Coturnix japonica: one gene and its partner. The protein of the gene in region 1 interacts with the protein of each later gene in a pairwise test. Links are inferred from orthologs where the notes say so. Each region holds a gene or a part of one and is shown on either strand. Other genes may lie near its edges.

Region 1 (4,495 bases):
GGGACTGACAGAACCCAGTCACAGTTTCTCTCATTCTCTTTAGTCAGTGCTGCAAATATGTGCTGTTGTGAGTATGTCTCATGTTTCCTTAAAGCACCACAAGCAAAAGCAGTCTGGTCTGTATGGGTTTAAAGTGTTGATATATTCAAGAAACCTGACAATATGAATCTACCAGACTTGATAACTGGAAAGGCATGTAAAAAGAAAACAAAATATCTTCAAACAACCAAATTTTAAGTTGGTTTTGTTTTTTTTTTTTTCTTTATTCTCTGAAAGCTTATGTGTGGCATCAGGACTTCAAAATACCTGGTGTTGGACTAACATTTATCCACATTTTTTAAGCCAAGTACAAAGCTTGGTAACCACAGGTAGACAAACTGCAGTAGTCCCATCAGTGTTACCAGTGTGTCAGCAGCAAAACAGCTTGTGTAACAGCTGGTGAGTCTGGCCCAGCCCCTGATGGATGGTTTGCAGCGTACAGTTATTTTTGTTTCAATCACGTGGTTTAAAACTGACTAAAAAGAACAAGTGCATTCTTCTTGAGCTCCCAAACCCAATTTACTTCATAGTTTCTGTTCATGTATTTAAGTATTTACCATAAGTCCCTGCATCACCAGATGTTTCCTTTTGCAGATGTTAGGCATCAAAATGCCTACAGTCAGCTCATGTTCAGCAGTTCTGACTGCCCCTTTTCTCACTAATCATAGGCTGCATGCACTCTTCGCTCTTAGTCAGTGGTAATTTTCATGTTTTGATGCTTCTAGGAAGCAGTGCTTGTTAAATACATGCATTTTCCTAAGACTGGCAGTCACAATTTCCCTAAGCTTTTCACACATTAACAGCACACACTTGTGAAACTATCTTCCAGCTTTTATCACAGAATAGCTTAGGTTGGAAGGAACCTTAATGACCATCCAGTTCCAATTCCAACCCCATGCTGTGGGCAGTGCTGCCACCTTGCTAATAAAGCTGCCCATGATCCTACCCAACTTGGTTTTGAACATCTCCAGGAGCGGAGATGTGCCTGTGTCAGGACTTCACCACCATAGAATTATAGAAGAGCAGAATGGCTTGGGTTGAAAATGATTGCAATGATCATCTCGTTTCAAGCCCCCTGCTATATGCAGGGTCGCCAACCACTACACCCTATCACTATACAACTGTAAAGTCAGTTCTCCTCCTATTCATAAGCGGCTGCTTATGAAAAGGAGTACCGGAAAGCCACAGTTGGGGCTCCCTGGAGCTTCCTTTCCTCCAGGCTGAAGAAGCCATTAACCAAGGAGAAGTGCAGCCCTCTGACCAACTCTAGGGCTGTCTCTGGACCCACTCCCACGGCTGCACTCCTCGCTGCGGGCCCAAATACACAGCACTCCACGTGGGGCTTCACGAGAGCAGGGCAAAGGGGAACTGCCAGCACTCCAGCTCCCCTTTCAATTGCTATCTCCTGCTGTATCTCGTTTGTTCTACATCTCTTGCAATTAGTACTCTATCTTGTATTCTATCATTAATCCGGTTTATTACCTTGCAAAAGAAAGCAATTTTTATAGCTAAATAATTTGTCCGACAAAGAGTAACCAGGCAGAACTGCCAGGGATTGCTGCTACAGCCAGCACCCACTGCTAAGCGGCCTGACCGCTGGGCGCCCTCCCGACCCCGGGGCAGCGGAGCGGGGGGGGAGGCGGGCCGGCTTTGGGACGCGCCCCTTCCGCCGCGGAAGTGCGAACGGAACCAGGCTGACGGTAATGGGGCGACCGGCAGCTCGGCCCTACAGCGGGTGCGGGCCCGGGAGATAAACAGCGGGTCACGTACGATCCTCCCCCGCCTGAGGCTGGTCCGTAGCCTACGCCGGGACGAGCCTAGGGTTAAAACGGCTGCTACCTTGCATGCACAGCCAAAGCGCCCTAGTGACGCTGCTGCATGCCCTAAGTGCGGGCTGCGCGTGAGTGGAGCTGGGTCTGTGCCGGGGGCGGGCGGACTGACAGTGTCCTGCTGCCCTGTGAGGCCTCCAAGCAGCTGTGGGGACATTGGTGGAGTTAAATGGCCGACGCTGCGCCGCAGGTGTCTGCTTAGGGAAGGTCGGCCTAGAGAGAGCAGTGGTCTGGTCTTCTGGAGAGAGACCCCTGTTATGTGTGTCTTCCATTGTTCCCAGAGCTCTTGGGGTTTGTGTGTCAGGTTTTGTGTTTTTCCAAAGGGTTATCTGTGTCGTGTTAAAAGTTTACTTGGTTTACTGAAAATATTTTCCTAACAGTGAGTATATTTTTAGGTGTTCTTGTTTTCTAACTCAGTTGAGACAATGACCAGCTTTGAAAAGAACTTCCATCAGGAAATGATTTCTCAGCTGCATAATTTTGCTGCGGTTGGAGACACAGCCAGGCTGAAAGCATTGCTCAGCCGTTCCCCATCACTGATCAATGCGACTTCAGGTAATGGCTGGACAGCTCTGATGTACGCTGCAAGAAATGGACACTTTGATGTTGTACGGATACTTCTTGAAGGAGGGTAAGCTGTTGAGTAGGTCCTGTTGAAGAGCTAAGTCCCATTCTTCCCGTTTAAGTATGGCATCAGATAAGTACATTTACTTGCTAGAAAGCAGAAGAATTTTCAGGGTTAAAACTCATAAATTTGTGTTAGTTTATAAATGGACTGTGCTACTGCATCATGGTTTCCATACTTTCTAACAGCAGTTATTACAGTATGAGGATTTCTAAAGTTACTGCTTTGATCTTCAAAGACAGGGTCACTCACCCCAGAAACCAATACAGTACAATAAAATACAATGATACAACAACCCCATTACAAATACTGTTCTGAGTATGAATTTGATACATTTAATTGTTCCACTTAGGCTTTTTGTCTCAGGTTTAATTGTAATACACTTGAACCTGTGTTACTGCAGAACATTTGCAGGCACATTGGCCATTATTTTGGATGTGATAGACGTGCCTTTACCAAAGTCAGTTATTGCTGAATTTCATCCATTCATTTTTATTATTTTTCAGATGGTTCTTCTTTATTAAACTTTTTGGCATTTTTTTTTTGCTTGTCAGGAATGTATTTTAAATTATATTGTCTATTCTCAAGTCAACTCCTGTAGTTCTGGTGTTGGAAGTCACCAAGTAAAACGAATGCTTCAAAGGTCTTGAAACCTCAGGATTCTTCTAAAGGCTGAATAAAGCCAAGATTGACACATTTCAAATGAATACCATTACAAAATGAGAGCAAGAGCTCAGTTGAGCTTTACAAGTGGTGTCCCTCATGTTAGTATTGACGTCAGTGTTATTTAATGACTTTGTCAGTGACACATACAGTAGATTGAGCGCACCATCAGCAGGTTCACATCATGGATGATGGCAATCTGAGTGGCACAGTCCTTGCAAGCATTTAAGAACAAGCTGTATGGGGCCCTGAGCAGACAGATATAATGGGAGTTATCTCTGCCCAAGGCAGGAAGGCTTGGAATCTTATGATCTTTAAGGTCCCTTCCAACATAAATGTCTCAGTGATTTTGTGAAGACCACTCGGTTCCTTTCTGTATCCCTTGTTACACTGCCAAACTAGACTAGATTATTTTGTGGTTATAAGTAATTATCAAGCATGCTATTCTACTTCCTCCTGGATTTTCACATCGTTATTTTTAAGACCTACTAGGGTACTGTACCTTCTTCTGCTGGAGCTCACTGTGGAGTCTCAAGGGAGTCTTCTTATGTACCATAATTAGTGAATTCTAGCACATAGAGCAGCTTTGCTGTGCCACATATTGTAGATTGAAATCCTCTGTTTTTGAGGAGTCCTCTGAGATTTTGGAGAATCATAGAATAGGAGAATCAGAAGGTCATACAGTCACAAGGTTGGAAAGGACCTACCAGATCATCTAGTCCAACCGTCCTCCCATTACCTTTGCTACCACAAGCTACTAAACCATATGTTGTAACTCGTCATCCAGTCACCTCTTGAACACTCCCAGGGATGGCAACTCCCACCACCTCCCAGGGCAGCCATTTCAGTGTCTGACCATGCTCTGAGAGAAAAGGTTTTTCCTTACATCCTTACAACTAATCTAAACCTCCTCTGGTACAAATTGTTGCCATTTCCTCGGGTCCTGTTTGTCACCTGGGAGAAGAGGCCAAACCCTCCTCATCACAACCTCCCTTCAGGAAGTTGTGCAGTGAGGTCTCCCCTGAAGAAGTTGCCAGTTCAATAGAAGTTCTACGTTCTATTTAAAAAAAAAAAAAAAAAAAAAAGGAATGCAACTCTGATCATTTTCTAATACCATTAGTATGTAGCCCGAAGAATGCCCTTGATTCCGTGTTCTGAAAAGTTGATGCAGCTCAGTAGTATCAGATCTATCTGTTGTAACAACAGTACAGTATTGGAACTTTTCCTGAAAAATTCACTCTGTTAACTGTTGTTCTTTTCTGTTTCTGTAGGTGTGACAGGTCCATCATTAATAAATCAAGGCAGACAGCACTGGACATTGCTAAATTCTGGGGGTACA
Region 2 (4,523 bases), on another chromosome or scaffold:
AGATAGAAAACCCGTTTTCCCCAAGGAGGCGATTATTGCTGCCGTTGTGGTGGTTGCCATCACTGTGCTTTTCGGAATCGTGGCTCAGAAAGACAAAATATTTAAGGTATGGAAAAACCCAGTTTCTTAGGTGAAACATAATGTTTCAATGGCCTTTTGTTTTCCACCTTTTCTATGCTGCTCTGTAGTGCTGTTTTTCAGTGTCTTTCATTGAGTACTATCATCTCCTGGTGAATTACTAGCAGTTAAATCGAATAGCAGGTATTTGAAGGGGAAAGAATAATACTTCTATGGGTAGAAAAATGCAAAAGGTAACAGGACTCTCTCTCTTTCTTTCCAGTGCTTCAAAAAACCAAGTGAAACAGCCCTGTAAGTATCTGAGTGCACAACCAGCTTCACAGTAAATGCCTGAATGAAACCCCTTCTTTAAGCTCTGAATGAAGCACCCACACACTGACATCCCCAGCAGCCCCAATGAACCCAATACTGCTGTTGACTTTCATTTTCCCTATAGATTGGTTATTTTTACCCCTTTTGCTGCAGGTAAAGACGGCACAGGAAACTTTGCACACCCAGCCAACACCATCTGAAGCGGTGGCAACACCTGTGTGAGATGAGGAGCTCAGGCACTGAAGCACAACCCCGGCCACAAGCTTCACAAGGCTCATAGAACACACAAGCATCGTTTCACAACTGATTGGAACTCACTGCTCAATACTCAGCTATAGGGCATAAGGATGACAGCTCACCTCATCCACAGCGCCTCAATGGTGTCGTGTGGGGAGCAGCACTGTGGTGAAGGGGGGAAGGGTTCCTCTTAAGATCGCACCTTGCCAATAAACGCACCTTGCTGTACGTTAATGAGGCCTACAGTGTGAGCAGTCTCTACTCGGCTCTTGTGAGGCCCCATCTGTTGTACCGTGTCCAGGTGTGGAGCCCTCAGTACAAGAAAGACATGGAGATTTGGGAAAGGGTCCAGAGGAGGGACAGGAAGATGATCAGGGGCTGGAGCACCTCCACTATGAGGACAGGCTGAGGGAGTTGGGTTTGTTCAGCCTGGAGAAGAGAAGGTTGCGGGGTGACCTCATTGCAGCCTTTCAATACCTGAAGGGAACCTGTAACCAGGAGGGGAGTAAACTCTTTGAAAGGACCACTAATAGCAGGACAAGGGAAAATGGTTTTAAGTTAAAAGAGGGAAGATTTAGGTTGGATGTCAGGGGGAAGTTCTTCACTAGGAGAGTGGTTAGGCCCTGGAACAGGCTGCACAGGGAGGTTGTGGATGCCCCGTCCTTGGAGGTGTTCAAGGCCAGGTTGGACGGGGCCATGGGCAGCTTGATCTAGTAAAGGTGTATGTTTGGTGGCCCTGCCAGGCAGGGGGTTGGAACTCCATGATCCTTGAGGTCCCTTCCAACCCGGGTCATTCTGTGATTCTGCGGAGCCTCACGTTCCCCGCGGGGTTGATCTCGCGCGATACGACGCGTTTTGTCCCTTCCCGCCCACCGTCACCCTCCCACCACCACTGCCGCCGCCGCCGCCGCCACCCTCAGAGCAGAGCGGTTCGGGCCCCACTTCCTGCTTCCGGTGCCGGGCTATAAGAGCCGCTTCCGGCGGGGCGAGCGGGGTTCGGCTGGTTTGTGGCGCTGCGCTTTACGGCACCATGAACGCCCATGGTGAGGGGCGGGTGTAACCGGGGGGGAGGGGGGCCTTATCTATGGTGGGGGGCCTTGCCTATGGGCGGGGGGGTCCTTGTCTGGGGGGGGCATTGCCTATGGGGGGGGCCTTTTCTGGGGGGGGGGGTTGTCTATAGGGGGGCGGCCTTGCCTATGGGGGGGGTGGGGCCTTGTCTATGGGGGGTGGGCTTACCCCTGGTGTTGGGCTTGAGGGTTGTTCTCCGTTATAAAAACCCGTGTGTGTTTATGGGCCCGGAGCCCCCCGCATCCCGGTATGGGATCCCCGGGTGCTTATGCTGCTTTATGTTCTTCCCCCCCGCAGGGCTCAGCACTGAAAAGGCCGCGGCCTTTACCCGGCGGCTGCGGGCTGAGCCGCAGTTCCTGCTGGCCCAGAACGTGGCGACCTGCAATGACCCGCTGGAGGTGTGTCTGCAGCGGCAGGTGGTGCAGGACACCATCCAGGTCTTCCAACATGCGGTGCCTGCTGAGGGCAAACCCGTCACCAACCAGAAGAACTCCGGTAAATGGGGGATTTGGGGGCGCCCTTTGGTGCTTTGGGGTGGGCAGTTACCTCCCTGCAGGTGTGGGAATCTCTACTGGAGCCCTTTTGGGGGTCTCATATCAAGAGGAGCTTTGTTCAGGGTCGTACCTTCCAGGTGAGCTGACTGCAGTACTCAGAATGGCTTCTGAGTTCAGAGAACAGCTGCATAAGGTTCCATATGAGATCTGACAAGGAATCCCTGCAGCATCCTTCAGGGGTGACGTCTGCCTTCTGAACTGCTTTTCCTTCTGTATAGAGCGAGATGGAAATAACTGAGAGACCTGTTTGCATGGTTCGTAGAAGCATAGAATCGTTACGGTTGGAAAAGACCACTAAAATCATTAAGTCCATCCCGGACTCCTGAACTCACTGGTTATTCAGTAACCTACAGTGCTGGGCAGGACACTGGTCCAAAAACTTAAGATGGAACACAGAATTCTTGTTCAAAGCCCTTATGTAGCTCTGAGTGCAATAATGCAGTTTAATCCTTGTGTCTTTGACCTCAGGGAGATGCTGGATCTTTTCCTGCCTCAATGCAATGCGTCTTCCCTTCATGAAGAAGTACAACATTGAAGAGTTTGAGTTCAGCCAGTCGTATCTCTTTTTCTGGGACAAGGTACAGTACTACAGGCCGCAGACTGTGCTAGGAATGCTTACACAACTGAGTCTTACCATTAGGACGGATTTCCTTTTAAATTGGGCTTTCTGAACAATCCAAATGGGAAATGTGCATGAGAAGGACCACCAGAAATTTTTAAATAGTTAAAATTGGGCAAAATGAGATTTTCAGCTTGAGGAGGAAGTCATCAAGATGTTAATGCTTTGGAGTGGTAAAAGTCTTTCAAGTGTTCTGAATATTTCAGAAGTTATTTGTGGTAGGCCCAGCAGGAAGCCTAACTGTAATTGCAGCTCTATGAAGCTCTTTCAGGACTGCTTGCAACCTACTGATTTGGGAGCTGTTTGCTTTTTTCCTGAAGGGAAATTGAGAAAACCTAGCACTTGTTTGTGCCAGGCTCCATTATATAACTTCTGTTTCACATTTCCTGTTTCCCCCGCCCTCGAGCTCTGTTAACTCACTTGTAAATACATTGTCTGGACCAGAAATAAACTTTTGGTTAAGCCTTGGAATAGTAAAAGGAAAATAAACATGTTAGTGGCTGAGCAGATGATTTCATCTAGTTAGGACTATCAAAGAACTGGAGTACATGGGAATGAGTTGATGTGTATATCGCACTGAGATTTGTCTTGTCTGTTCATTATAGGTCGAACGTTGTTACTACTTTCTAAATGCCTTTGTGGAAACAGCTCAGAAAAAGGAGCCCATAGATGGAAGGCTGGTGCAATACCTGCTCTTAAACCCCACAAACGATGGAGGCCAGTGGGATATGCTGGTTAATATTGTAGGTAAGGGAAATGGCTGCTGGGAGCGCTTCCCTCATTTCCACGCTGATTTGAGAGATGAGTGAAAGAAAGCAACTTTGGATCAATTCTGCAGTGTCTGATGCCATACTTGATATTACAGCATAGGATCTCCTAGGTCGTATAGGCACTATATGAAAACTTAAAATAGAGGCTTGCCTACACTTTTCACTGTAACCCATCCAAAACAGGAAGAACTTGTAGTACACCTTGATAATTGATGGATTGAAGATTTCTTATTCTGACAATCTACTGTAGTTACAAATTGAGTATGAGACCTGGAAGCTTGTTAAAAAGCACAACACTTAGCGACTGCCTTTTTCAATCAAGGATCTTATTTTTTTCTAAGTATTAGGCTTAAATCTCTTCTATGATGTTTATTTTTGCATATTGCTGCTGCTGATAGAAGCTCAAAATCAGCAGGAATCATTAGATACCCCAGAATGTCAATTCAATAGTAAGTTCCTGTCCTCTACTGTCCCAGCTCGAAGCTGTTGCCTTTGTATCCATGTATGCAGTCCTGATGTACAAGGTAAAGAAGAGTCTTTGTTAGACCAGGGTGTGTCTTCAAGGCAGAAGCAAAGCTGCTCTGAGTTGCAGCCTGAAGAAAGGCGATGTAAAGATTGGTGAGAGGGAAATTGTATGGAATGTGGCAGTGCTGGTCTGACAAAGGTGCAATTTAGGGAGCATCATCCTTAGCACTAATGAAGTAGATGTGGTGTCTGAATTAGACTAGCATTTGCTTTCATTTGTATGATGATGCAATTGAGTGCCTCTGTAAAGTAATGAACCAATAATGTAAGTTTAGAATCACAAAAGAAACCTGTTTCTTTGAAGCCTGGGGGTTACTTTTTTCACTGTTACAAACTCTTAAACATGGCAGAGAGAACTTC

What was found.
Region 2: the proteins of NUDT12 (region 1) and BLMH interact in binary tests that used the Homo sapiens proteins (3 or more experiments, as listed by UniProt). The two-hybrid records come from large-scale screens. The link is inferred for Coturnix japonica from reciprocal best matches to the Homo sapiens genes NUDT12 and BLMH.

Annotation. Positions count from the first base shown.
Region 1 is NC_029547.1:44,271,953-44,276,447, forward strand, and holds the start of NUDT12 (peroxisomal NADH pyrophosphatase NUDT12), read left to right. Parts: upstream 1-1,641; 5' UTR 1,642-1,739; exon of another isoform or gene 1,740-1,831; intron 1,832-1,847; exon of another isoform or gene 1,848-1,939; intron 1,940-1,955; exon of another isoform or gene 1,956-2,263; 5' UTR 2,264-2,293; coding exon 2,294-2,499; intron 2,500-4,427; coding exon 4,428-4,495. UniProt on the Homo sapiens protein: mRNA decapping enzyme that specifically removes the nicotinamide adenine dinucleotide (NAD) cap from a subset of mRNAs by hydrolyzing the diphosphate linkage to produce nicotinamide mononucleotide (NMN) and 5' monophosphate mRNA.
Region 2 is NC_029534.1:5,007,101-5,011,623, reverse strand, and holds the start of BLMH (bleomycin hydrolase), read left to right. Parts: upstream 1-1,533; 5' UTR 1,534-1,657; coding exon 1,658-1,670; intron 1,671-1,992; coding exon 1,993-2,190; intron 2,191-2,717; coding exon 2,718-2,827; intron 2,828-3,473; coding exon 3,474-3,615; intron 3,616-4,523. Other genes in the region: TMIGD1 (transmembrane and immunoglobulin domain-containing protein 1), read left to right, coding at 3-106, 341-369, 544-547. UniProt on the Homo sapiens protein: The normal physiological role of BLM hydrolase is unknown, but it catalyzes the inactivation of the antitumor drug BLM (a glycopeptide) by hydrolyzing the carboxamide bond of its B-aminoalaninamide moiety thus protecting normal and malignant cells from BLM toxicity.